4 linked regions of the Medicago truncatula genome follow. The main gene of each other region encodes a partner of the protein of the gene in region 4 in a complex. Links are inferred from orthologs where the notes say so. Each region holds a gene or a part of one and is shown on either strand. Other genes may lie near its edges. The genes, in order: photosynthetic NDH subunit of lumenal location 5, chloroplastic; photosynthetic NDH subunit of lumenal location 2, chloroplastic; photosynthetic NDH subunit of subcomplex B 4, chloroplastic; photosynthetic NDH subunit of lumenal location 4, chloroplastic.

Evidence for each region.
Region 1: photosynthetic NDH subunit of lumenal location 4, chloroplastic (region 4) and photosynthetic NDH subunit of lumenal location 5, chloroplastic share a complex: the UniProt entries of both Arabidopsis thaliana proteins name them as parts of the chloroplast NDH complex. The link is inferred for Medicago truncatula from reciprocal best matches to the Arabidopsis thaliana genes PnsL4 and Pnsl5.
Region 2: photosynthetic NDH subunit of lumenal location 4, chloroplastic (region 4) and photosynthetic NDH subunit of lumenal location 2, chloroplastic share a complex: the UniProt entries of both Arabidopsis thaliana proteins name them as parts of the chloroplast NDH complex. The link is inferred for Medicago truncatula from reciprocal best matches to the Arabidopsis thaliana genes PnsL4 and PnsL2.
Region 3: photosynthetic NDH subunit of lumenal location 4, chloroplastic (region 4) and photosynthetic NDH subunit of subcomplex B 4, chloroplastic share a complex: the UniProt entries of both Arabidopsis thaliana proteins name them as parts of the chloroplast NDH complex. The link is inferred for Medicago truncatula from reciprocal best matches to the Arabidopsis thaliana genes PnsL4 and PnsB4.

What each region holds. Positions count from the first base shown.
Region 1 is NC_053042.1:56,646,687-56,654,595, forward strand, and holds the start of photosynthetic NDH subunit of lumenal location 5, chloroplastic, read right to left. Parts: upstream 3,026-7,909; 5' UTR 2,915-3,025; coding exon 2,861-2,914; intron 2,768-2,860; coding exon 2,381-2,767; intron 1-2,380. UniProt on the Arabidopsis thaliana protein: NDH shuttles electrons from NAD(P)H:plastoquinone, via FMN and iron-sulfur (Fe-S) centers, to quinones in the photosynthetic chain and possibly in a chloroplast respiratory chain.
Region 2 is NC_053046.1:18,325,844-18,332,941, forward strand, and holds photosynthetic NDH subunit of lumenal location 2, chloroplastic, read right to left. Parts: upstream 2,857-7,098; 5' UTR 2,758-2,856; coding exon 2,275-2,757; intron 741-2,274; coding exon 642-740; 3' UTR 508-641; downstream 1-507. Other genes in the region: casparian strip membrane protein 1, read left to right, coding at 1-80. UniProt on the Arabidopsis thaliana protein: NDH shuttles electrons from NAD(P)H:plastoquinone, via FMN and iron-sulfur (Fe-S) centers, to quinones in the photosynthetic chain and possibly in a chloroplast respiratory chain.
Region 3 is NC_053044.1:13,325,578-13,333,111, reverse strand, and holds photosynthetic NDH subunit of subcomplex B 4, chloroplastic, read right to left. Parts: upstream 2,896-7,534; 5' UTR 2,744-2,895; coding exon 2,660-2,743; intron 2,557-2,659; coding exon 2,512-2,556; intron 2,133-2,511; coding exon 1,973-2,132; intron 1,739-1,972; coding exon 1,683-1,738; intron 1,585-1,682; coding exon 1,513-1,584; intron 822-1,512; coding exon 690-821; 3' UTR 520-689; downstream 1-519. UniProt on the Arabidopsis thaliana protein: NDH shuttles electrons from NAD(P)H:plastoquinone, via FMN and iron-sulfur (Fe-S) centers, to quinones in the photosynthetic chain and possibly in a chloroplast respiratory chain.
Region 4 is NC_053049.1:42,222,034-42,228,893, forward strand, and holds photosynthetic NDH subunit of lumenal location 4, chloroplastic, read left to right. Parts: upstream 1-3,844; 5' UTR 3,845-3,936; coding exon 3,937-4,272; intron 4,273-4,364; coding exon 4,365-4,457; intron 4,458-4,542; coding exon 4,543-4,603; intron 4,604-4,686; coding exon 4,687-4,755; intron 4,756-5,162; coding exon of another isoform or gene 5,163-5,170; exon of another isoform or gene 5,171-5,273; intron 5,274-5,287; coding exon 5,288-5,370; 3' UTR 5,371-5,420; intron 5,421-6,192; 3' UTR 6,193-6,505; downstream 6,506-6,860. UniProt on the Arabidopsis thaliana protein: NDH shuttles electrons from NAD(P)H:plastoquinone, via FMN and iron-sulfur (Fe-S) centers, to quinones in the photosynthetic chain and possibly in a chloroplast respiratory chain.

The sequences.
Region 1 (7,909 bases), on a different chromosome or scaffold from region 4:
AATATGTTTCTAAGATCTATTGTTATGTTTCCTTAAAAAAAACGATCTATTGTTATGTTCTGATATCATTTTCAAAAGCAATGTACAACTTTTTCAAGTCTTTCACGGTGTTTGTTGATAATTCATTGCCTGGACTGAAACATTTTCCATAAATAGCCGCATATTGTAAAGCTAGATATTTTTTAATAAGACTAAAGTTTTAGTGTGGTTAATTGCATAAATAATAATTATTAGTACTAATAAATAAAGAGAAATTTAGGGTGCACAATGGCTCAAATTGTTGAATAACTTAGGTTAAGTAATTGCAACACTCCAAAAAAAAAAAGTAATTGTAACACAACACTCACCTTCAATCTGTTAACATTGTAGGCACTTCTATAGAAGATACTCACATGATGGGGATCCCTTAGGTTAGTTGTATTTAAATTCAACTATGAAGATAATGGAAAGAAAATAAGTTTGAGGTCCGACCATTGTGTTCCATTTAACTTTTTTTTTTTCCAAAACTATATAAGCTCTATTAGTTAACTTTTTCTTTTGAAAGGATTAGTTTAACTTAATTATTATGACAAAAGGAATGATGATTTAATTTTTCCAGAGCATCTTTCATATAAGTAAGTAAGTCACGTTTATTCTTTTTTTGATAGGTCACTTATGCTTATTCTCTTTTCCTATTTTTAATTCTTCAATATTTTTTCCCTATTGCAGACAAAGAAGAAAGTGCCATTGTTGCTACAAAACTCAGGGTGGAGCTAATCTCAAATGAAGCTTAATGTGTATTTTTTCTTTTGTGACATTGTGCATACAAATTGTAAATAACAGTGGCGTGGTAAAGTTTTATCTCAGAACATTTTGCACCACCCGGTTTAGGTGAAAAGTTTTATCTCAGAACTCTACTAAATTATGTCAAGGGTCCTACATCTTTCGAAGACATAAAAACGGTGGATAACGTCAAATACTTTAGTTTCAAAGACACTTGCTTTGCGATGGGACTGTTGGACGATGACAGAGAATTCATTGACGCCATAATAGAGGCAAGTTTGTGGGGTACGGGCACCTACTTGTGAAGACTTTTTGCAGCATTGACGGTTTCTGATCAGCTGTACAGACCAGAGGTTGTTTGGAATAGCACTTCGCCTAATCTAATTGATGACAATTTGCACAAACAAAGACGTGTGCTTGGTGCGCCTGGTAAGTCTGATTGTTAAATCTGTATAGTTTTTTTTAAGGTTAAATTTACTTATTTGTCTGGATAGCTAATCTGAATACATCACTTATTTGTTAATGGCCGGTTAATATAGAGAGCGAAACTTATGCATCAGCATTGTACTACATGCTTAATTCATATTGCAAACCTTTGTGTAGGAAGATTAGATACTAGCCAGCCTGAATTACACTATATTTCATGACTAATATACTCAAAGAAATTTGTAGTTTGTTGGTGTATAGTGGAAAATAACGTTAACTATACATGACTCAATATTAAGAGTATATAATTATATTAGTTTACTTAAGGCAGGGAACTCAAATTTTGTCAATTATATTAGCTTAATTCATATTGTCAATTGAACATGGCATTGTCAAGAGTTACTTCAAGAGAAGGTTTGAAGATTTTAATATCTAATGACGATGGTGAAGACGATTGTGTAACATCTAATGTGGTTTATAGAGAGGTTTTTCGTAATCTTTCTTAATTTATGTCATTTGTATGATTGAACATATTTATAGTCTTTTTATTTGTATGAATGATGTAATACACTATCTTTATTACCGTACTAATGACTTATTGCTATGAAGGCTTATACAAATTTCTATATTATTGTCGGTTTCTACAATCTATATGACCCGTGCGCCGCACGGATCGGCGTTCTAGTAGATGTTAATGGCTATTTTTTCTATACCAAAGGGTCTCAACAATTCCAACAATGGGACCCGGGTGGATGTTCTCTTGTTCGAGGGCAAGGTTTATGTGACTTTAGCAGTTACTTGAAAGTCACTAGTACTACTACTCTTCAACATTATTATCTTGGCTTCAACCTTGAGGACAAGGTTGATTTTAAAGGGGATGGTAATGTAATGAGTCTTAGAGTTAGAAGGGGCATTATGGGAAATAGGAATATGGACCCTTATAAATATGAGAAAAGCCAAGGAAATAAGTATGAAATGATTGATGTAACTTCTTCTCCTTCTCTCTAATTCTCTAGTCCCTCACTTCTATTTTTCTTATTCTTATTACATTCCTTTGTTACCTATTACTCTCTATGAGAGATTCCAATTACTAAGTTGTAATGCTTAATTGAGTGAATCAATGAAATTTCATTTACATTTTTATTCCAATTAAGTAGAATCATTACAGAGATAGCGATAGAGAGATACTTACATTTCCTTTATCAAAGTCTCCTCCTTGAATCATGAAGTCCTTGATGACGCGATGGAAGGTGGAGGACTTGTAGCCAAAGCCCTTCTCACCGGTGGAAAGGGCACGGAAGTTCTCAACAGTTTGTGGGACATCATCACCAAAGAGTCCTATCACAATCCTTCCAACCAGCTTCCCAACTGGATTTCCAATACTAACATCAAAGAATACTTTGTGAGTCACTTTTGACTGTACTATTACTTTCTCCTCTGAACTACTACCACTTTCCACTGCCCTCACTTTCACTTGTCGTCGTACTGCTACTGCTAGTTTCACACCCCCACCTCGGGACCTAACCACCCCGACGGAAATACTTCTTCTAGGGTTAGGGTTCAGAGCAACAACATTTGACTGACCACCCAACCAAGAAAATCAATCATTTAATAAAAATGAATTCAACACCAATTAAATTTAAATTCAAGTAATAAAAAAAATATATATTACCAGTGAGAAAAGTGGCGGTGTTGTAGTAACATTGAATGCAGCAGCAGCAGCCATCGTTTGGTTAAACACCGAAGAAGAAGGAAGGAAGGATATCGCGCATGCGTTAAAATTGGGGAGGATGCGACCAATCTATATCTATTCAACTCAAACCCATGGATGGATTCACCACCATTTTTTGTGGGGGCCACCACATTATAATTAAAACTAAAATAGAATTGGTTTAGATTTCATTTGCTAGAGATTGCATTTAATTTAATTAAAATTTAGACTAAGATGTATCAAATTTGATTTGATTTAATTATTTTATTAGGTTAATAAGGGGGAAAAAATAAACTACAACAAAATTCGATATTTCATTTATACAGTGGCTTAAATATGCAAACCGTCTCTGTAATTTTGCGCATTTTTGCAATTCGTCCATGTATCTTTTTTTGTTTCAAAACTCTCCTTGTAAGCTTTTTTCGTTTTGCAAATGATTCTTCCCGTTAACTCCCGTTACAAAAACGGCGAGGTGGCAGGCGGAGACATACGTGGCTTAGTGTGACTTGACAAAAGGAGGGTTACGTGTCAAAAGAGTTGGTGAGTCATCCTGTCTTTTGATTTCCCCCCTATTTATTGAAAAAAAATGCTCTCATTTTCCATTTCGTCCTTGTGAAATAGGGTTTCAGAGAAGTTAGAGAGTCATGGTGTAAGAACAGAGACGAAGGTGAGTTGACGGTGAATCACGGCAACGAAGTGTAATCAACAGTTAGCGAAGGTTTTTGAAGGTGATCGACGGTAGAAGAAGCGGTTTTTGGCTTGCGATTGAGGTAGAACATTCTAACCTATCCTCTTATTTTTTTCTTCTTCTTATCTTTTGTTTGTTGTTTGAATCAAAAAATCTTTGAATGCTAGTTTATAATGATGTAAAAGAGTAGAATGGATGTCGTTATATGTTGTTTGATGTTGTTTTATACTTGTTTTTGTGTTGTTGTTGCATGTGGTTTTGGTAGAGACGAAGATGAAGGTTTATTAACAAAGTTTATGTTTCTAAAATTTGACAGGGATGAGTGTGTCAATTGTATTTCACCATGGGGGTGAATTTGTTACGGACTATATTTTGTATTACACTGGGGGTCAAGAACACGTAGTAGTAATGGGATTGATAGGGATAGGTGGTGTTACTTCGAAGCGACTGGTATACTAAAAGAGTTAGGTTATGATGATCACCTTAAGTATCATTTATGGTGGTATGTTATTGAAGATGATAAATACAAAAGGATTGTTGATGATAATGACACTGATATTGTTGGTGATTATGTTATTGAGAACAAACGTGTGGCTCATTTATATGTTGAACATTCAGTTATAGGGATGGTAGGTTCACATGTGGGGTAGAGTTCTATGGATGTGGGGCAGAGTTCTATGGACTTGGACATGTCAGGGGGAGTTGGAGGTCAAGAAGGTCATGTAGTTGAATAAGGCACAATGAATGAAGCTGATGGTGTATGTGATGATGAAGAAATGAGTGGTGATGGTTCTGATGACTATATGGGAAGTAGTGAAGATGAAGCTGCTGGAGTAAGATTGGATGATAGTGAAGAGGAAAAAGCTATGGGCATGAATGATGGGTTTTTAGTTGAAGATGATGAGACTCCTCCTATAGTTGGTAATGCAGTGGTAGATAAATTTGAAGTAGATAAAATAGTCACAAGGAAGGGGGGTTTGAATTGTGACCCTTTAAAATTAAACCTGTCACTTAAAAGTTATTCTCAAGTTGAAAACTTGGAATGGTTAAGTTAACAGACAGACTTCAGAACGTTCTGAAGTGTTAGTATAAAAACAATTTAAATAATTAAATGTGTTTGTGTGTGTTGTGTTTACTGTAAGTAAATAGTAAAGAGAAGAGAAGAAGAACACACAGAAATTTATAGTGGTTCCCCCAATGTGGGTTAGTCCACTCCTCACAGTTTTGTGAGATTTTCCATTATGATGCTTGAGATAACTTCTCAAATTCTGCACCTTACAACCTTGTTCACCTGAACAATTACAACAATTGTATTCTCTTAGCCTCAGCAGACTTACACCTTTCTTGCTAAGTTACCCACTTAGACTTTACACCTTTCTGCTCAAACTAACACTTTAGTACCCCTAAAGCTAGATGAGACTTTGTTTACAATTTGTATGGAGTTTGAATGATATAGATCAAACAAGAGATGAATAGAGGGAGATATTTATCTTTAAAAAGATAAGAGAAATATTGATTTACACTTTTGAAGACTTCTTGGAATCTTTGTGATGATCAATGTTTTTGCTAAAGCTTCAAACACTCTTATGTTGTTTTCTTGTATGCTTTGCAAATGTGTGTGTTATGCTGAGGTCTTGATCTCTATTTATAGAGTTCTTGAGCCTTTGTAGCCGTTGGAGAGTGACCAATGGTCTTATGCCACGTGTCCTGGGACCCACCAACTTTCACTTGAAATTCTGGGCAAACTGAAATACTTCAGAATGTTGTTGTGTTCTTGAGAATACTTCAGAATGTTGTTGTGTTCTTGAAAATACTTCAGAATGTTGTTGTGTTCTTGAGAATACTTCAGAATGTTGTTGTGTTCTTCATGAATTTCTGGGTTGTACTTAAAGATTTGCTTTACACGACTTCAGAATGTTGTTAGATCAGATCTTCTTTGAAATATGTCTAGGAGCGCGTGCAGGATCTCATAAAGTGGTGCTGTCACTTTGTAACGCCCTCTTTAATTATTTGATTATTTTTATAGAGTTTAGAGTTTATTTAGATGATTTATGTGATTTAAATGATTATATGATGTGTTGTGATTTATTAAGTGGCTTATTTTATTATTTAATAGAATAAGATTTGAAAATAAAATAAATATTGAGATGAAGGGTTGTTTTGAGAATTTAGAGAGTTTTGTGGGAAAATGAGGAAATAAGATAAAATAGATGGGAAAAGATAAATAGGAGAAAATAGGTTTAGAAAAGTTTTCACGTACAACCAGTTTTGGAGAAAAGGGAGAACAAGAGGAGAGAAGAACCAAGAGAGAGCTGCTGATCGATTTTCTTAAGGTAAGAGTGAGACTAACATTCAATCTTCTTAAGCCTTTAATTCTGATGATTAGATTTAACATGTTGTAGGGTTAGTTTTTGAAAATTGGAAATTAGGGTTAAGAGTGATAATTGAGGATTAGATGATGGAAACTTGTAGAATTGATGTAGAAAGTGTGTACAGACCTCAAATAATTCATAGTGTGATGTTTAGAATCAGTTTTAAGCTTAGAACCATGTGAATTGATGCATTTTCGTGAAAATCTGCATTCTGCCCGAGCTGACATTCATCGCTCGCCCTGGCGAGGGATGATCCTCGCCACACGAGTGATGAACTTCATCGCTCGCCTCGCGAGTGACCCTTAGTTACTCGCCATAGCGAGCAGATCACTCGCCATAGCGAGTTGACCAGTGAGGAAACCTGATTTTGTGATTCAACTCCTTTAGTCGAGCTTTAGATGATTTTGAGTGCCTGAACATGTATAATAATAATTAGGCAAGTCTTTAGATTGAAATTGAACACGGGGAAGTTAAAAATGAGATTTTTGGGTGAAAAATGTCAAGTTCCCGAGAGCACCCAGTTTCAGTTCGCTAAGGCGAGTAGCTTACTCGCCAAGGCGAGTAGCCATTTTCCTGAACTCGCCATAGCGAGTAGAGTGGCTCGCCTCGCGAGCTGCAGAGAGACATAAAACCTTGTATAGGTTTTTGCGATCTTTGTCGCACGAGATGTTATGAGTTGATCCTTGGGGTAGGAATGAAGGTTGATTATAATATTACTGATGTTCAGTGACTCTGATATAATATGATTTGATGTTGTTAGTAATGTGATGTAGTTGTATATGCATTATGTGAATTATATAAGATGTTTAAGTTGATGTTGATTATTATTTGGTATTGTTATATCTTGAGATGTTATGTGCTGCCTATGTTGTTGTTGTATATTAATTAAGCTGCATGATGATGAGATAAAATCGCAAGTGCACGGTCTTACCGAAGTAGTATGAAAAGAGTATCGTTCCGACAGGGAGTAGTTTAATTCAATTAACCTTTGATGATGATTAGAGGAGAAACGAGTTGTAAGTTGGGGGTTTCAAACGATTGAAAGATAATAATATAAAAGGAGCCTTGGGATCATTGGTTCATCTAAATAACAAGTCCTTCACAAACCAAACTATAAGCTTATAACTTTATGTTAGACCTAATTTCTCAAGACAGTTTCTCTTTTGTTCCTCTAGCAACCAAGCCTATTTCGCTGACTTGATTACTCTTAGATTTTGGTTCCTCTAACAACCAAGCCTATTTCGCTGACTTGATCGTTATTAGTTCCCTTGAAGATCGAAACTATGTGTCTCAAAGATTGCAAAGACTATTTCGCTGCCTTTGCAATCCTTGTCTAAATTCACTTGTTCGAATATCAAAGCTCCACTTTCGTTTTATGAATTGATATTTGAGATAATGGATAAACGATTATCAAACCCTTTCGTTTGCACAGTTTGATAATGGTTGATCCATGTTAAAACGGTGAATTTAGATAAGAAATTAGGGTTACATAAGATTAAGGCTTAGAGCTTGGCTTGATCAGGATTATGTCATTTAGACTTATCCAACAATCCCAAGACAAAGAGAAGTCTACTCACTCATGTTCATCGTAGACATGGGGAAGAAGAGAGAAAGCATAAAAGTAAATGACAAGAAAATAAAGGAAAAGAAAAGAACTTTTATTAGAAAGACAATCGTCACTTATTGAATTCCAAGAAAAGATGAATATTTGTGATGGATAGCTACTCTATTTATAGCATACATTCGACTTAAAATCTAAGCAATTACATTACTAGAATGTTCCACAAGAAACTGCGGGCTAAAATAGAGTAGCTTAAAATCTAAGCAAAAGCAGCAAAAGTGACTCTGGAGGGTGGCATGGCCGTGCCAATGCTAGCACGGGCCATGCCAGACTTCTGACTTTGGGGGAGACATATTTTTGTCTCTGAATCTTCGTATTTTCGTACTAAA
Region 2 (7,098 bases), on a different chromosome or scaffold from region 4:
CTCTTATTGGCTCTTATATTGCCGTTGCTCTCTTTATAATAATAATCCTCCTATCTCAATCAGCTATCTCTCGAAACTGATGATTTGGTCTATGAGTTTATCGCGTGTTCTATTCAGATTATAGAATCTGAAATGTTTCAACGTGTTTTTGGAGGTCTGTATGAGGTGTTTATGCTTTTTGAATTCTATATTCCGAACTGCATAGAACGCACGAGAAACTCATAAGATGGAAAAAAAAAGTCTTATGAAAATCGTGATCGTGTGTATTCCCCTATAGTCTGTGTGCATTTGTACCAAAGTGTGTTTCTCTAACTTGTTTAGGCTTGTGTTGGATACTTTGTTGGTGTACACAATTTAAATTTCTTTTAATAGTACAAGAGGTTTGAAAGTTTGACTTTGTAAGTTCAAATTCAATGGATAAAATTCAGATTTCCCATCAATGTTTGTAAAATAGTCATTAGCGTCAAAATTCTCGATTTAAAACTTTTAATAATGTTCAATTTAAAATACTTGAAGTTGCACATTCTAAACCTTTTATATATGTTCAATTGAAAATCCAAAATTCAAAAAAATTAAATGTCAAGATGTGTTTTATACAATTAGAATTCCAAATACCAATACCCTGCAGCTTCAACTTTGCACTAAGCTAACTGAGCCACAAGTTCATCTATTGATTTCAATGTCTTCTCGTAGTATAGGTATGATTCATATACCTTTGGTGTCCGAACATAACGATCCATCTGAAGATGGAAAAAAAGAACCATAAATCAGATGCTAGACATTAGCAATCATTAGTTCATTACATTTATCATATAATAACAATGTTGATTTTTGCATGACAAAATTAATCTTTAAATGCATATTCCATTTATTAAAATGATGATAGCCATGAGTGTAACCCACTTTTATACCGATAGCATCCATTAAAAACCATTGTTTTATGATATCATTTCATTGTTGTAATTGTATTTTAAAATTAAGTTTAAATCACATTTTGATCGAACCGTAATTTTAGTCCCCAATTTTTTTATGGCAAATGTTAGCTTGTTAGTTGTTATTTTCGTACTTTCTCATTTGCTCAAGATTCAAACCTAGATCTTTCACCCTTACATCTTAACACATTTAATACCTTAGTTCAACCAAGCAAGCTATTCATCCCTCATCCCCTTTTTCTAATAGAACAATTTTGATCCATCGTTTTAAAAATTTGACCAACCCATCATTTCGACCATCCAACTTAATGAGGTATAATAAGTTAGATGGTGATCTGACATGAAAACAAATGCCTATCTCTTGAGAGTCTTAAAAAAATGATGTTAAATTAAGTGGTGATCAAATATATAGAGGAAAAAGAAGATCAATTGAGATGGTACAAGGGATTGAGAGTAAACAATTTAGTGTCATGGTATCATTAAATTTTGGATGGTTAAATTATAAGTTGGTCAAAATTTCAGAAATGGGGACCAAAATCACGGAATTAAAAACGACAGACCAAAATTATGGTTTGGCCAAAATAAAAAGATCAAAATAGCATTTAAACCTAAAATTAACTATGCAACATGGAAAAATAGAGTTCATAGTGCATGATAATGTAAAACTAATTTATATATTTGTTTCTTAGGATAGCTAATTTATACAAACATGTCAAATTCATGTTTCATCACTCAAATTAATCCATGAAATTGACAATTTGAGTCGATTAGTTGAATTTTTTAAAATTAATCATGAAATTGAAAATTTGAATCAGATGAGCTAATTTGGACGAAATGAAATTTTAATTTTCAAAATATTTTGGAATTTCATCAATTTCAAAGGCTAAATTATCTTATTTTATGACTATAATTTTAAAAAGGTTTAATAGTAGTTTTAACCCCTAATTTTTTCAAAGTTGTAATTTTGGCCCTCTAAGAAAAAAAAACTACAAAATCACTCCCTAAGTTTTGCATCTCTGGCAGTTTTGACCCCCAAGACCAATTTTGACTCAGTCTACGTTGACGTGGCACCCTAAGTGAGGTGTCACGTGCTATTTTTTTTTTTTTACCAAAAATTGGCCTTGGGGGACCAGAAACTTCTACGGTTGCAAAACTTAGGGGCAGTTATATAGGCTTTTTCTTAGGGGGCCAAAATCGCAACTCATGAAAGTTAGGTGGCGAAAACTGCTATTAAGCCTTTTAAAGCACACATCAGTATAGCAGAAGTTGTATATCTATTCATAGACTTATTCAATTCATTCATCAAATTAACAAAACACCACTAAAAATTAATCATACATACCTCAGTCAAATTATCAACCAACTCATTAGCAGTTTTAACATACTCCTTGCGACGATTTTCAGGCAAAGTAGTGATAGCATTTCTCAAATCCTGTTCAAGATAATTCTGTTTCAATCTTATATAAAACATAACATACCTCCAAGACAAAGTTTCCAACATTTCCCTAAGATTATGTAACCCTTCAGCTGTTTGTTTTATCCTTAAAACTGCATCTTCAGGGGACAATCCTGGCATAAAAAAATGTTCTTTCATAAAAGAACGTGTGCCCCAATTCTGTGCTAGTGCTAGTGGTGTTGTTGTAACATGTACTACTCCAACCATTGATGTTGCTAGAAATGTTGAAACTAAATTTCTTCTATTTGTTACATTTTGTTTAGAAGATAAAGAGTTGTTAACGTTGTTGTTGATGTTGTTTGAAGTGTTTTTGTGTTTGGTTTTGATGTGAGCATGGAGTAGTGTAGTGGCATGAGTGAAGCTGGACATGGTATTTTTTGTGTGTGGATATTTTTGGTGTATGAAGGATTTAGGTATGGTGTGAATTTTGAATGGTGTATTTGGACTATGGAAATTTTTGGGCAGGTTTTTATTGGCTGACCGTGTTGCCCGGTTTATACACTTATGCCTTGAGATTATGCCACGTGGAAACTTTATTATCCATTTGAGTTGAGAAAACTCCAAGTCAATCATTGTTGGAAGATTTAAGCATTTTCTTTTTGGTGAAAAAAATGTAAATTAAATATTGGATCAATTAAGTTTTTAGTCTTATAAACATCTGCAGTTTTTTTAATCTCTGTAAAAATAAATTATATTTTTTGGTCTTTACAAAGTTTTCCATTAATGTTTTTAGTTCCTGTTAAATTAAAATTTGTTTAATTATGTTTAAAATTTTAAATTTTTTAATAATTTTTTACATACTTGTTTAAAACATCATAAAACGTTCCGCTGCAATAAGTTAGGTCAAAATTTTATTTTTAGGTCTAAATTTTTGTTAGTTTTATCTTTAATTTTTGGCATTTTAAAAAATTATATTTAATTCATTACATGTTAAAAAATTCTAATTTTTTATAAAATATATTATTATAATGTTCTTAACATGTCTGTTAAAAATCATTTAAAAATAAAAAAGTTTAAGTATAATTAAACAAATTTTAATTTAACAGGGACCAACACATACTTTTAGTCCTTGTAAAATTAAAATTTGCTTAATTATGCTTAAACTTTTAAATTTTTAACATATTTTTTACATACTTATTTAGAACATTATACAAAGTTCCTCCGCAAAAAAGTAACTCAAAATTTTATTATTTGGTCCAAATTTTCATTAATATAATCTTGAAAATTTGGCTTTTAGAAAAATTCATATTTAATTCATACATGTTAAAAACCTAATCGATTTTATGAGTGTCTTACGATGTTATGAACATGTCTATAAAAAATCTTTCAAAAATTTAGAAGTTTAAGCATAATTAAACAAATTTTAATTTAACAAGGATTAAAAACACTAACGGAAAATTTTGTATGGACTGAAAAATGTGATTTGTTTTTATAGGGACTAAAAACAAAACTGCAGATATTCATAGGGACCAAAAACTTAATTAACTCTTATATATGTATGGTAGTGGCTTTGATCCATTTGCAGGTTCATAGAATTTTCACTATTAGTCCTCGTGAGCATAGTTCAGTTTGGCAGAAACATGCATTGTTATATGCAGAGGTTGTATAAGTGAGAAAAATGTGAAATGTGATACGGGAAGAGAGAGAGATTTCACACATGTGAGTTCTTTGTAGTGAAGCGTATGTGTAAACGTGTTTTCCCCTCAGGTTTTTGACCACCGATGGAAAACACCCAATTATAATTAAAGATAAACTTCATCAATATTACAAAACTGCCATCGTGTTTCATTTTTCCCTTCAGGTATATAGTTCCACCGATGTAAACACTCTTCAATAATGATCTCTCCCCTCAGCTAATTTCTCAGCCGATGTGAAAATGCCACCGTGTTGCATTTCACATCAGGTATTTGACCACTGATGTAGATATCCTGTTGTTTTCTAGTAGCGGAACCCCGGACGCCCTACTTATTCACTTTGAAAAATGTGAATTCTAGCCATTAATCTACTTAAAAAAAAAAAAAAAAAAATCACTATCATTAACCATCACAATACATGAATATCGTTTTTAAATACCTTAGCCTCTAAATGCAATTTTCATTTTTATAAAGAAGAAATTTGGTAACTTAGTTGATATGTCAATTATATGTAGAGCTGTCAAAAATGGGTCGGGCTCATGGGCCGACCCATTGGCCCATATTTTTGGGTCGGGTCGGGCCTAAAAAACTAACAAAAAATGCACTCAGGCTTTTTCAGCCCAAGCCCATTTGGGCCGTACAAAAGTTGGGCCAGGCCGGGCTGGCACATCGGGCTTTGGGCCGGCCCATTAGCCCATATTTCATTTTATTTTTGTTAAAAAACAACATATTTTTTAAAAAAATTATCAACTAATTTAAAATTTATTAACAAAAAAAATATTTAAATAAATAAACTTAATAAATATGGATGAATTTAGCTTACAGTTTTAAAATTTTAAAGTTTATAAATTATTAATTTGATTTAATTGAAAGAATAATCTAGAGTTTAATTATTATTCAATGTTAATGTAAAAATTATTTATATTTTTATGTCCATCCAATCATATTTTAGCAAAAAAATAATGGTGAGTAACTAATACATAAGAAAATACATAAAAAAAAATGAATAAATTTTAAAAATAAAACATAAACGGGCCAGGCCGGGCCGGACTCTAGAATTCACTGCCCAATCATAAACGGGTCGGGCCGGGCTGACCCATTTATATAGTCGGACCTCTCGGGCCCGAGTCGGGCTGGGTCGGGCCGGCCCATTTGACAACTCTAATTATATGTATCTAAAATATACATTAAATATGTATATACTATTTAATTTTGACTTTTACGTTTCAAAACACTTGATGTTAATTATGAAATTTGGAAAAGAAGCATTATACATGTCTTTTAATTTGATTTTTTTTTTTTTATATTTAAGACATTTTTTTTGCTAAGCAAGTGTTTATGTTTAGGGACATAAGAAATATCTATTTATTGTATTGATTAGTTAGTCAATTCATGTTTCCTCTCTCAAATTCTTCTTTTTTTTTTTAAAAAAAAAATTCAAAAATGGAATTTTATTATCAACCAACTTTACTTTCTCTATACAAGGAATGTTAGAGAGAAACAAAGAGAAGAATGAAATTACATCATAAAACGGTTACAAACACCAAAAGCAAGGGTAAGGAAATTACAACCATAATAAAGGGTTGATATACCACATGTGGTAACTAAAAGTAAAGTTGATGTGAATAGTATGATCTTTTTGTCAAGTTGATGTACCTTTAGCCATCCATAAGAATATGCCTTAATTTTGTTAAGCAGATGGCAAATAGTATCGTCTTTATTCTTTAATATTTTTTTTATTTCGTTCTTTCCAAATAATTCAAATAGAGAAATATCAAAATAAGATTACATTTGGATTTCGATAATCCACCCAAAACACTAAATTGTGTCAGGTGTTTCGAGATATGGTGTGGAACTACTATGACGAGGCCTAACCAATCATAAGTAGTGATCCAAACATGACGGAATTAGTCATAACGAAGAAAAATATGAGTCGCGTCGTCCATATTACCATAATTTCCCACACAAGATACGAGCAGTAGTTTTGTTGGGAGGCGGTTGCGAAGAAGACGCAACACAAAGAAGTTAACTTTCAAAGGAACATCTCGATGCCAAAATACATGATTATCATTTGCAATGTGTTACGATTTGCTGCTATTAAAAAACTATAATCATTATTGATTGTATTTTATTTTATGTACACTCCAAAGTCTCTCCCCATCCTAGATGCCTCATCTCAAACACAGTTGTCATTTTATATCAAAATCCTCAAAAAGGCGGTTGAACCTATCTTTCAAAACCCATCCTCTCAACTAAGGATCCCACCAAAACAAAATTGAAGTTCGGTCACCTGCCTCACGCACAGAATTATCACCTATCAAACTTCCCACTCCTGCTCCACCACCCTGACTAATATTAATTAAATTACTCCACCAAACTGATCCCTCTTCCTCATCCAGAGGAAACATACAACCAATCTCTCCAAATTTTGCTAAAAGAACTCTATGTAACGCCATAGTCGTTATTTTATTTAATTTGGAATTATTTAGAGTCTTTTATGTGATTTTAAATAATATTTGTGATTTTAGGTGGTGTGTATTATTTTATTATATGATTTATTTTAATATAATTAGAATAATATGAGAAATAGAGTTATTTTGGAGTGTGGGGAGTTAATTAAGAATTAATAGAATTAAGGGGAGTTTAATGAAATAAAGGGGAGTTAAGTTTTGGGAGTTAAGAAAAAGAGAAGTCAGAAAACGTTTTATACGTAAAACAAGTTTTGGGAGAGAAGAACCAAGAACAAGTAGAGCCAAGATCATCCGTGTGTTGTGCGATTTTCTGAATTAAGGTAAGGGTGAGACTATCTCTCAATAATCATAATATATAATTTCTGAAAATTGATCTAATTGAATTGTTCTTGAAAATAAAAATTGGGAATTAGGGTTGATGCTGATTTTGAAAGGAATGGTGTAAGAATCATGTTTAATGTGTTTAGTTTTCATGTTCAGAATGATTTCTTAATCTATAATGTTGCTGTGATCAGAATTTGAGGGAGATTAGAATTGGTTGGGAAAATTGGAGAGGTTTTGTATGATTGCTAGAATGATCTGAATTGTTGTTGTTAATGCCTGTT
Region 3 (7,534 bases), on a different chromosome or scaffold from region 4:
ATTTGTTAGATAACAAATTCAAGCTTGGAAGCTCGAGGAATTTAGGGAGGAATCTAATTAATTCATAACAAAATTTACATGGTGTCCATGTAATTTGGTAGAGTATGTTCCCTCATCTGATAATTCAATGTCATGTTATATTTTTTCATATTAACTTATTTTAAAATAACTTAAAAGGTTACACAAACTTTGCCTAAACTTCAAGATACCTTAGAATTTATTTTTTTTATCAAAGCAATAAAAATAAATTACAAACCATGATTAAGGCCTGAACCTGTTTACACATTAGAAAGAAAGGAAGCATAAGGCTTTCCTTTAGCAACATAAAACAAAGAGTCAAATCAGACATAACAACAATTATGCAGTATCAAACCTGTCTAATCCTCTAATCACAATATTTGTGATTGTTTTTTATTACACCCTTTTTTAAACGAGTTTGTATGTGCTCACTACTTGTGCTTTTTGACGAAATTTGTCTATTTGTTTGTTTCTTTTGCTTTTTGTTTCTAGCTGCTGATGGATAGACAAGGCTATATTGTGACATCATATTCAAAGAAATAAACCGTAGTTTAATAACAGTACATTTGAATTTTGAAGCAGAAGAATTTATTCTTGTGTATGTATATACATAATAATGAGGTATCACTTGGTTAATTGATGGAGTAAAATGCATGCATTATTGTAGAAAATCATTTAACAAGTTCCTCTTCCTTCTTTGCTGCTTCTTCAATTTCTCTCAACCCTCCAACTTTTTGTTCTATTTCCTCAATCAACTCCTCGCGCCATAGAGCTTCTCTTGCCTCTGCTTCCATGACCTCTTGCTGCATAACCATAAAAAATAACACAATTTAAAATGCAAGATTTCTTTCATGGATGTGGAACAATTATTAAGTAAGAGAGTTGCGGTTTCGGTGTTTGATCAAACGATTTGGATATTTTTGTATATTGAGCTAGAATTCTTGTTACGATGTTGTTGACCTTATCATATACATTTTGGACACTTGTTAACATGACCTTTAAAAATTTGTTTGTAATTTCGATAGATTTAAAAACTATTTTGACATCATCTCACATGTTAATAAACCAAAATGATTGTTTACTCAATTAAAATGTTATTTTTTTATGGATCAATTAAAATGTTTTATTTAACAACTCAATTTAAAATATGAATTAACATCTTTGCCATGCTATTGGGCCACTGATGTGTTACTAACTTTACTCTACAAAAAATGCTAACAACACTTTCTTTTTAATACCTTCTCTAACACTCACTTTTTTAATGAAAGAAATTCATGCATGTCTTACTACTTTACACAAAATTCATTATTAAAGTGTAGGTAGTATCCATGTGAATTTCATCCGATAACAGAGTAAATGTCAGAGAGACCGTTAAATGAGGCCGTTCATAACACTCCTCTTACTCTAGTCTATCTACAAGGTTTGATTTGTGCTCCCCTATTTGAGGCTTCTAGTATTACATCAATAACAAAGTCATGAAAAAGAAATAATTACCTTCTCATATATCCAGTTTCCAGTACCATCTCCTCCATCTCCCCTATATGTTTCTGAATCGTAATATGGGTCCTAAATCATGTTAAACAAGTTAAAAATTTCATTTCACAATCATACACTAACAAATTAATCTATATCTATACACATAAATACAAGGAAAAGTGTTTTACCTTCATGGAACCAAAGAATAAGACTCCCCAAACAGTGAACATTATGTACCAAGCGTCTACAAAGGATTAAAAGGTACCAATAAACCATCAAATTTAAAATCATAAGAGAAACAACAAAACTTAATAATATACTTCTTCTGGTCGCATTTATAAACAAAATACAATTTTTTAGATTCATTGAATATTTAATGTATCTGACCTATATATAGACCATATACATTAGGTATTCAATGAATCTTAAAAGTCGTTTTTTTGCTTATAAATGTAACCGGATTTTATGTAACACTTACAAACATTCTTTATTTGCTGATCACTAAGATGCCAAATTGTTTTCTCGGTTATAAGATCTCTTTGTCCTTCCAATTGTTCTACTAGAATTGCCATCAGTGGAATATCTGGTAAACCATTCACTTTGCACATAGATGCTCTTTTTATCTTTCCATCTAACACCTTATAAACAAATACAAAGGACCATTATAATATAAACTGAAAATAGTTTTGCTACACCCATAAAATCTTGCAGAAAACTTGTATTTTATTCAAATGAATTTTTTTTTATAGACAAATATTACTATATTAGTTAGTAGTTGTTACTACTTTCTCTTTTTCCAAAGTCCAAAGTTTGAACTCCAACACTTAAACTTCTTCTAGTCCTTTGAAAATTCAATCCAATTGCGCTATCCAGACTCGGTAGTTATCCATGGAAATTAAAGATGGATAAAATGAAATTAATCACTAATTTTTCTACTCTAATACTTAATAAAGATTTAGAGACAAATTTCATAATTTTCTATTTCTAATATTTCTTCAATAACTTAATTTTAAGTACCTGCAATGACCTGTGAAAGAGGGTAGAATTTGAAGGGTGCCTAGGCTGCAAAAAAAGAAAGATATAAACCTTCATTTTTCAGAGCTTTGGAACTATCAAGTGAATCTAAAGAGATAAAATGGAATGAAAATAATAAACACAACTTTACCAATCTTGAAAATCGTTTTGTTTGAAGACATGAGCTATGAATATATGAATTGAAAACGGTGAAACCAATGATAGCTTCTGCCATGGTTTTGAACCAAAAGTGCAAGTGAAAAGGGGTTGAAATTATGGTCCTTATGATATAATATGGGATAGAGTGGATAAGAGTAGAATGAAGAACCACCCTTCAAGTATGTGCATGCTTCCAACAAATTGGATTTGAGCATGTATTTTATAAAATGATTAATCAAAATGACCTACGTGTCCTCATTTATACATACAATCCTTTCAATTTCGGGTCAAAACTTGTTCACAACTTTAAATATAAGTTTTTTTTTTTTTTTTACGCCAAGAGATAGGTGAGTTTGAAAGACAAGATACCTTCATCCTATGCTGCCTATTTATAATATATCATTAAGAAGTCATGGTCAGAGAGAAAAATGATACGATTCAAACTATTTTGAATCGAATCAAAGGCTTAGAAAAATGGTTTTGCCACACAAAAAAAAGAATTTTTACCACACAACAAGAAACATAACATATAAGACACATATGACACAGTGGAGCAAGGATTGCTAGGTGCTTTAACATATTCTAATCATTAACTAATATGATCAATAAAACATCATCAAAAGAAACTAGAATCTAGCTAGCCTAATAAACATCATCAAAACACAAACCTAACACTAGGTGCAACCTCATTTAGTTTTTCTGAATGTGAATCGACCCTAAAATAACGGTACTTAGGAAGGTGACAAACCTAATATTGGTGAAAACCTACCCGAATCAGGAAGTAACTAAGATAACGATTACGGTAATTAGGAAAACATTAGTAACTTCACGGAGTTAAATAAAAAATACACTTCTTTCATCCTTGGTAAGGTAGACTAGATAAGACTTCCCGTTTATAGAACTATCGAGATGGAGTGTATTCTGATGTACTTCTAGGATTCATAGATGAGAGAACTGATGAACGGATTAAACAAGTGTACCAAAACATTTACCAAATAATAAAGTGATAAGTAGAGTACCGTATCCACGGTAGATATCAAGTGTATATGAGAATTTGTACAAGACATTTCTTTATTATAAAGACACATTAACCACCCTTTTTCTTCGGCAACGGAAATTTATTATAAACTCAAATTAACCTATTCTGATGTGAAATAGAAAAAGCAAGAAGCCAGCAAACAACTAATTTCTTTTAAAGAAGGTTTTCGAAGTAACAAAATGAAACTTTTTGTAACTATCTTTTGAAATTTTAAAAATTATGGCGAAAAGATAATTTTTTATTAATTATTAATGGTGGTAACAACGATGATTTAACAAGAGACTATTTGAACTTTATCTCATGAAATTACAAAGTCAAACTCTTGGAGATGAATTGACATCAACATCTCATGGACTATTATTGCAATAAGATAAATAAAAAAGACAACTAGAAGGGAAACGCATGAAAATAAACTTAAGAGAAATGCTAACAACACACACTTTCTAACACACTCTCTTTGATTGGTTAAAATTCACATGGGTTCCACCAAATCATGTGGATCCCATATAAATTTAGTGGGTCTTGTGTGAATTTTGACCAATCAAAAAGAGTATGTTAGAAAGTGTGTGTTGCTGGCATTTCTGATAAGCTTAATCATTGGAATGAACTCTATACTTTTGAAGAGCAACAATAAAATCTTCAATGTATTGATTGTGAAGATCTTTTGAACTGAAAACCTTTCCCATATCTTTGGCATTGTTTCTGTACGTACTTCCTTCCTCATCCATTATTACCAACCTCAATGTTTTGGCTACTGAGTCCCTAGTAAAGGACCCGTCTTTCTCACTCCTTGGTACCTCAATAGCCACTTTCTTTTCTTCTAGTACTCTTGAGAACAAACATTGGTCAATTAAATAAGGCAATGTCACAAGAGCATGCCCAAAATGAAGCTTCTCAATGACTGAACCTGAACCACAGTGACTCATACATCCACCGATTGATCCATGTGCTAAGATCTTAAGTTGTGGTGCCCATGTTTTCCAAACAATTCCACGTTCTTTTGTTCTTTCCTCAAATTCTTTAGGTAATTCAAGTGTACCCTCTTTAAGATTTTTCAAAGCCCAAAAGAAAGGCAACCTAGAAAGCTCAATTCCATGAGCTAACTCAATTAGATCTTGTTGACTTATTTTCGTCTCGCTCCCAAATCCAATGTAAACAACAGAAGACGATTCTTTTGAATCCAACCATGCCTTGATTTTCATCCAATCAAGGTTGTTTTCTTCCTTTCGTCTTCTCTTATCTGCATGGATGGTGGAAGCAATCCAACTGGAACCACACGAACCTTATATTGGCTAGAAATATAATCTAACCATTCACCTTCAAGTTCTTTACAGCTTCTGATAAGAAAAATGTCACAATCTGATTATACTTTGTCTAGATTACAACGAGCCAATATTTTTCCAGAATTGTTGTCGACAGATGAAATTATTCTCTTCATCTCATAAGGTTTGACATGAATGTTGGAACAAAATGTGTTTCACAATGAACCTTATTAAGTTTTGATGATAACAAGGTATTAAAAATTGTCAATTGGTTATTACTAATAATTGTTCAAGTGTACAGGACCAAAGGCTACTCAAGTTATTTCAATAGGTCTTGGAAGAACAATGAAAAGAAAAAGAAATTCTGAGCATCTGAAGAAAACTGCTCCTGAAGCTGAAGTGCTTCTGAAGTAATGACGTCATCAGAAGCAAAAGTTTTCATCAGAAGCAATATCTTCACCAGAAGCTACGTTTGATCCTTTAATCAAACTGAAGATTCAAAGTAGCTGATTCTCAATTCAGTCTTATCCAAGAAGAACGAAGACTTGAAAGGGAGGTATCAACGGATATATGGATAGCACTGAGCACTTGTCTCTCGTTAATAGAGTTGACAAAGTACAAGTGTACAACCACTACCTCCACTACTCTGTTTTCTGTCTACGCTACAAGACAAGACAACAGCCATGCCTGCAGAAGTTGTACGTTCAAGATGGGAATGAATTTAAAGCTTATTCTTCAAAGGACTACACCCAAATCAGGCAAAGGATTACTGGTGGATGATCAAAGGATTTCAAACGACTCTTTAGACGTGCTGATTATCTCAACGTCTCTTTCACACCTCTATATAAAGGAGTGAAGACTTGAAGATAAAATAGAGATACATAAGTTCAAAAGCGCCAAAACTCTGTCAATTTGATTCTACAAAGCACACTGAATTTCTGCACTGATTTGATACATCTTAGAAATTCAAAGTCTAGAGTCTTTACTGTATTGTATTGTGAACACCACTGATTGTATATCAAGTGTTCAAGTCAAACTCAATCCTCTGTATTTTTGTTTGATTAGAAGTCTCTTGCCTGCGTGCTTGAGCATTAGAAGTCTCTTGCTTAGTGCTTGAGCATTGGAAGACTCTTGCGTGTGTGCTTGAGCATTTTTGTGAAGTCTCATACTTAGAAAGTATTGAGCAGTTGTAATCTTTGTGATTATAGTGAAATCTCCTTGGAAGTGCAAGGGGGACTGGACTACTTCCGTGTTGTGGAAGGAACCAGGATAACTGCTTGTGTCTTTGTCTTTCTTTTCTCTGCTCTGTTCTTTTCCGCTGCAATCTGACTCTGATCATTTCATCAGAAGCACTCAAACTGCTTCTGAAGTTTTATCAGAAGAAGTATTTTTTAAGAGAAAAAGAAAACACAATTCAACCCCCCTTTCTTGTGTTTTTCACCTTCAATGAATGGTTGTTTCGAAAGGAACCCACTTTGGTGGGCTATACCTGTCTATGTTGATTTGATCCTTTGGTGGATTAAAGAAACATATGTTCCAAGCTGGAACAATGCTGTAATGGGCACAAGGAATATTCAGGCTTTTGGCTATCGACGGTAACCAATCAGCTACACAATCATAGAAAACCCAATCAGACTTTGATGTTTTGAGTATCTCAGTAACATCGACTTGGAGACCGTCATAAGCCAACTTAAGGTAACCAGTCTTGTTTAATGGAACATTTTGAGTGCTCTCTGCACCTTCTAGTTGTTCTATGTGGGGTAAGGGTAATTTTACCAAATTGATGAATGGCTGAATTGCTTTTGGTGTTTTGGGAATTTGATCAATGTTTTTAGGAGAGGTTATTAAGGTGACAGTGTGACCCTTTTGAGCAAGAATTTTGGCCAATTCAAAATAAGGGTATATGTGTCCCATAGCTAGCCAAGGGAGCATTGCAACATGAAGAGGCTTGCTATTCTCATTCTCATTCTTATGGTTAATAATTGAATCCATGGGAGCGGTAAGGTTCAAAGAAAGAGGTGAGTATCAATTATGATTGGCTTCAGCAGTATTTATATACAAGACCCTCAATTTATTTATTGCATGCAGATAATGATAATGTTGACAGGGATGATAACTTGCACGCAAGTCTCGCCAAGAAAACCTGTCTCGTGTGTTTCGTCTATTACGTGGGTTTCGTCCATTATGTGTGTCTCGCGAAAATTGAAAAAAATGGAGAATGTTAACTAGTGTACTTGGGGCATTGGTTAAAGTACTAAAATAAATAACTTTGTAATTATTACCAAGATAAAAGTAAAAACTTGCATCTCCAAGACAAAACTTCTACTAATGGATTCTTTAACCATTTTTCTTAGGGCACTGCTTAGCACAACTCTAAAAATATTGACCCATTTCACTTTTCAAACAACATATGAATTACTTTTTTTTTAAATATAACTCTAATTAATATTACTTTTATCACTCATAATTTAATATATTCCACTTTGCATTTATGATATTGGAGAATGTATCAATACTTAACAAGAGCATTTTTTTTTTTGAACAAAACTTAACAAGAGCATTTAAA
Region 4 (6,860 bases):
TCTAGGAAAGTTTTTTAGATCAACATAGATTTATGGCTTAATTATATAAATGGTCTTTTAAATAATTATGAAATTTTAATTTGGTCCTCTTATTAATTTTCACCCCAATTTAATCCTTTAAATTACCTCCGTCTATCAATTGAATCCATTCTGATAAATCTTGTGGAAAAAACGTTAACATTCATCGTGTTCATCATCAAACCCAACAACATTCATCATCTTCATCAATAAACCCAGCAACATTCATCACCTTCATCATCAAAACTCAAAAAAAAAAAATTTAACTATGCAAATCCTGAAGAACGAATTCCAAAACAAATTCATGAACGTTTTTGGTACAAATCAAGACTAATTCATCAAAATCAAAACGAACTCCAATCAATCGCGTTCTTCTTCTTCGTTCTTCAAAAATTGAGATCTGGGTTACAATGAACAAGTGAATTTGCCTAAAAAGTGTTACCACTGGTCAAGCAATCCTATTTAAGTAACTTCAGAGAGAAAAATTATATTGTATCTCATTATTAAAGTACATAGCTCATTATTCAAGTTCGGTATTTAGCCAACTTGAATTAATCAGTTAGAAGGATTCCTTCCTCCCATTAAATACCTTTCAAAATGTACTGATCATTAACCTTTGCATAATCAAACGAATATTTAGAAGGATTCATTGCACATTTATTTCACTTCAGTAAATAAATTCAAATGGACTCGTTCAATTTGACTTGTTACTAAATCATTTAACCCAAAAATTATCTCTGGACCCTAAATATCACTCTAGCAACTTGGAAGACAACAAGAACGTGCTAAGCAGAAAATATGAATTGATAAACAAGATAATGTCAAGAAAATCTGTAAAGACTAAATCCACAAATTGTTTTATTGAAGAACTATTTAAGCAACATAGTGTAGTTGGATAATAGTGTGAATTAACTACAAATTCAAAGTTTCACTTCATGAGACAAAGAAGTGCAGCACAAACTAAAAAGAACTAAGGAACCGTGTGAATTAGCTACATTAGATGGACAACAGTGTAAACTTATTAACTACAAATTTCATAGAGATTCACTTCAGCAGAGAAAGAACTAAACCGCAATCTTCATCATCATCATCGAAGCATCGCACTCACAGGCCATGGTGATCTTCAATCTCAACCATTGGCTTGACCTGAGGCATGGGAGACACACCTGCTGCAGTAGTGACATCAGCAGCACAACCACCACGTCCATCAGGAGCAGAGCAGGTTTCTTCCGTGGCCTGACCAGCAGAATCTGATACAGTAGCAGCTCTGGCTCCGACACCCGCTCCTTCCGATGCTCCTTCACCTCCTAAGATAGTATCATAAGCAGCCGCAATAGGATTGATATGCGGAAAAGGCAAATACACGCTGTGCACAACAATCTTCACATTGCGGATGACGTCAGCAACCTTAACTCTCACATAGTTAATCCTCATCGGCGCTGATGTCACTCCTCCGCCGGAAGTAGTGATCAGAAGCGGCTGACCTCGCTCCAATGTAGGCAGAGCAGTTCCAACCGGAAGCTTCTCAAGATCGGCGATTGACAAGTAATGATTCGGTATGATATGGAATCGCACATTGCTGATATACGATTGAGAACCGGAGAATATAGAAAGATCATCAACAGCGAAAATAGTCATGTTGTTGAGAGTTATGAGCTCTGCGTATTTTACCTTCATAGCAAGGGAGAGGATGCTGAAACCGTTATTACGGAGCCTTACCATTGCATCTCGTAGCATGAGGCGCATAATAGCAGGGAGCACGGTGGCGCCGGGAGTGTGAACATGAGCACCGGAACGGTGATCAGGATGAAACGGAAAGGAGAGAGAACTCATTCTCTCAACGTCGCAAGAAAACGGAGAAAGCTTAGAGGCGAAACCTTGAAGGCCGTGAACAACAACCATTCCGTTGTTGAATAGATCCGGTTGAGTAATCTCAACGCCTCCGATGAAGACTTTTGGAGCACTGCCGGAAGTGTTGTTCTGATGAATCGACTCGGAAGTGACGGTTACGCAACGGCCGGGACTGAGAGTCTCAATCTTGGTGCCAAAAGCAAGTCGCCGAAGATATTCGATGGTGAATATACCTGGAACTATGTGTTCACGAAGGAGATTCGGAACAGAGCAAGAAAAGCAAGTGCGAAGCGATGCATCAGAGGGAGCGAAAATGGTGAAAGGACCGGTCCAAGCAGGGGAAGTGGTGGTTGCAGCGTCGGAGAGCGACGGAGCGGCGGTTGCAAGCTCGTGAAAACCGAGATGAGACAAGATCGGTGGAAGTAATGCAGTTTGAGAGAAGAACGAATGTTCTTGAAGATCGTGCGGAGGTGGCGGTGGGAATGAAGCTTCGATTCCTTCAGTGGCGGTGACCTCGTCACCGGAAAGCATGGCGGTGAAGAAGATTGCGAAGAAGAGCATAGAGAATCGCATAGAGGAAAAGGTTGAAGAGTTTTCCATGGTGGTTAAGAAGATTCAGAGGTTTCAAGTCTCAAGAGAGTGAATTCGAGTGTGAATTGAATCGAATGAAGATGAATTGCAGGGTGAAGTATTTATATACGCGCGCGCGGGGAAATTAAACGGTTAGAAGAGAGTATTGTAAGCGTGTGAGTTTGTTACGCGGTTGTTATAGATTTAAACGTTTTTGAATCTTAAGAGATGTAAGCATGCGAAAGATATTCATATCTTACTATTTTATTTTTACCTATTAAAATGAAACGAGAAAAATTGAAGCTCTTTTTTTTAAGGAGAAAAATTAAGCTATTTTTTTTATGGAAAAAACTAAGCTCTTATCTACTCTATTTTTTTATTTATATATTAATATCAATATTATCTTAAATGCTTTTTATAAGTGTTTGTGGACCTAAATAAACAATAAACTTTTTATAAGTGTTTAAATGCTGCTGAGTGTCTGAGATTATATTCGAACACATGACTTTAGTTAAGTTAGAAAAGACTCGTATAATCTCATCTAAACATTTTTTAGCATATATTTTTAGTCATATATCAATATGTGTAACTAATTTTTTTAATTTACACACGTGTCTATATTTTTTTCATATATCAATAAGGAGCCTTCTAAAGCCTACAAATACTATAAACAAATTTAACTTAAATGTCTTTTTTAACAATTTCAATAAGTTATATTGCTCTTATTTGACAAGTTATATCTCATTTGAAAATCATTCTCTAATATTATGCGAAGTTGAAAGAGATTGAGTTTGGGTTAAGTAACAATGACATGTTTTTCTTATTATACATTGTAGTTTAGTTTAATTTGGTTGATAAAATAAAATCCGCATGCTAAACTAAACTATATGGTTGAGTCAAAAAATTGTCCAATATTCGAAGCAAATAGAGTTTTTTATGATTTTCAATTTATATTGGTTTTGGAGATAAGGTGGAAAGAGAAAGGTAAAATTATACTTTTAATCCCTTAACTTAATTTCGAATGATAGTTTGATCTTTTATCTTTTTTTTCATTTCAATTTTGTCATTTTAAGTCATTTGCATATGGATTTTCAAGTTTCAAAAATTCATATTTTTATTTTCTTATGACCTCTCAATTTTCAAATATATGGTGTTTTGCATATGAATATTAGATTTGAAGTTTGAAAAATTCATATGCAAAGAACAAAAATGACAAAATTGAAATGAAAAAAATAAATTAAATGCCAAATTGTTATGTTAAATTAAGTTAAGGGACTAAAATGTAATTTTGTCTCTATAAACTTGCAGATTTTTTTTTTGAGTGATGAAACTTCCCAGAAATTTTTTATTTGTGTTTTTGAGCTGATATATATTGATTATTATAGATTAATTTGAGCCACATGGTGTAGAAAGGATGGTATGCCAAATGGAGTTACTCATATCATCAGTCTTTGATATATCCTTAGAGAACTATACACACACACACTAAGATAGAAAATGGCACTCTCATTCTCACTCTGTTCAGGCACAACCGTTCATAACCGTTTTCCTTCTTGTATGAAATTGAATGGTAAAAGTTATAAAGTATCCGATAAAGTGTTATGTTCTGCACGTAACGGTAACGAAAAGAAGCCGTTAGTGGGAATTGGTATTGGAATTGTAGCAGCATGGGTAATGGGGTTAACAGCGTTGGATGCAGATGCAACGAGAATTGAATACTATGCTACTGTGGGAGAACCAATGTGTGAGCTTAATTATGTTAAATCTGGGCTTGGTTACTGTGATTATGTTGAGGGTTTTGGTGATGAAGCTCCTTTAGGAGAGCTTATTGATGTAAGCTGTTTATTACTCTTTTACTCATTTTCTATATGCAAAAATTTAATTAGTTAATTAACGATTGATATTGTTATTATTATACATTGCAGATTCACTATACAGCTAGGTTCGCCGATGGAATAGTATTTGATAGTAGTTATAAACGTGCTAGGCCTTTAACTATGCGTATTGGTGTTGGCAAGGTGGATAAGTTTTTCTTACAGTTAAATTGATTTGGCTATGTATTTTTTATGAGTTTGTAATTATAAGGTTCAATGGGATTTTCAGGTAATAAGGGGATTGGATCAGGGAATTTTAGGGGGTGAAGGAGTACCTCCAATGCGGATAGGTATTAAATTTAATTTGAAGTGTTTAAGTTTCATTGTTCATAGTATATGACACTTTCTAAATTTATTTACTATTTTTACTTAGGTGGGAAACGCAAACTCACGATTCCTCCATTGTTAGCGTATGGTCCTGAACCTGCAGGCTGTTTCTCAGGTCTCATTCATTATTAATTATTACTGTGTTATTATGTAATTTGCTACTAAACATGGATAACTACTTTAATCAAACCTGAAACTCAAAAATCTAGTAGACACGTGGATGAAGAAATGAATCATTAATTGTGTATTTGGTCATATGCATTGCGCGTATGTGCCCCGGTATATTTTCTACCACTGTAAAAAAAGTAGCTACAGTGCTATGGAATTTAAATAAATTGCTATTGGTTCGTGATACGCTGTTTAGAACAAAGTGATGTCAAATAGTAGCTATGAAACTCTGTAACTTAATAGAGTTTGAACAAACTGCTATATTCCACGATCTACACTTGAAAACACTTTTTTCTACTTACACAGCTGAATTTGTTTTTGTGTGCTTGTCTGTGTGTTTTTCTCAATGGAAAGGAGTATAAGACCATGGATTTTATTAGGCTGGGAAGATATTGAATGCAATCTTATTATTATCAGAAGAAGAGAATCATTATCATTAAATATGTTAGATTTTGACAGTTTTGTCGCTGATTCAATAGGTGACTGCAATATACCGGGTAATGCAACTCTTCTGTATGATATTAAATTTGTTGGTCTTTATTCGGGCAATCGAAGTCAATGAAGACAAAATTGATCGAATACGTATACGTATATGAACCGCACGTGGATTAGGTGAGTTTCCTGATCTTTTGAGAATATTTTATTCTTAGATTAGATAGACAAATACTACCCAGCACTCAGATTGTTTTATCCAGCTTACTTTCTGTTTGCTCTCCAGCTAAACATGTTTGTTTACTTTTCACATTATCATAATTGTAAGAAAATGCTTCCAATATTGACCATGATCAGGAAGCTTTTATGCATATCTAGGTATATGCAGAACCTTCATGAGAAAACACAGTATGCAACATTAAAATTAGCTGTCACACATGATCATGGTTAAAGCATATGCTACTTAAAATTTTGACACAGGGTCCTTTGTGACCATTTTTCTTGTGCAATATACAAAATGATGTTTGAACTCAGATGCAAACTAGTTAAATTCATCATTATTAACCTTATCCCAGTGGCTTGACTTATTCATCAAATTTACAACACTATACTGTTTGACGACCGAGTGATATTTAAGATGAATGAGGTTTTGTTTACTCCCTCCGTCCATATATGTAAGCACCTTTTGCCTCTAATAAAAGGGTGCTTACATATAGGGACGGAGGGAGTATAATCTAATCGATCTTTTATAAAGTTGCGTCAGATAATCTACTCAGATAAAAGTAGACTTGCATATTTATAAACTAAAACATTTTTCTATGGAATAATAAAATGCCTTTAAAACTATAATGATATGCTGGTATCCATGCATTCTCTGATCTTGATTATCTAAAAATAGGGATAATCATTATTTTTAATAATTTTTTTGACTGGTTATTTTTAATTGTTTTAGAGTAATGAAATGGACTTTTTTTGCTGGTGAGTGTGGATCGACTTGTTAGGCAGATTCTCCTTCCTGGTTCCAGCTCTCTCAAATTACTATTCCTGTTTAGTGCAGTCCGACATGATTCACCTGAATAGAATACCCCTTTTAAGAGTAAAGAGGATCCAACCCTGGTGCGGTGATATATATTAGACATGTCTGGTAACATGATGCAACTTTTTGTATCTTTATTGTAAATGTAATTTTCAATAGTACACTCTGAATGATGAATTAATTAATTCTTTATATGATAAATGTTATCCCCTATTACTTGTATCTTTAATCCATTTGATCTTTTTCCTCTATGTGCTGTCTGCAATGAAATGCCAAAGATGAATCATGATTTTGGATGGTTAACAAATGAATAGTTAAAATGTACAATTTCTTGGCAGCTATGTTGACTTGATCAACCATTCTTTGGGTTTATCATTAGAAATATGTTCCTAATGATATCCTAAATTGTATGCAAAATTTCTTTAGAGTATTGTTCAACTTGGTAGGCAAAATTCTGGTGAATCCTCTAAACTATACCGCTCAAGAACAATTCTGTTGAATCCTCTAGTCTGCACTGCCCTGAGTTACATGTGCCTTTACACTTTGTTAGGATCTGGGAAAGGAATAGGGAAAACGGGAAAAGA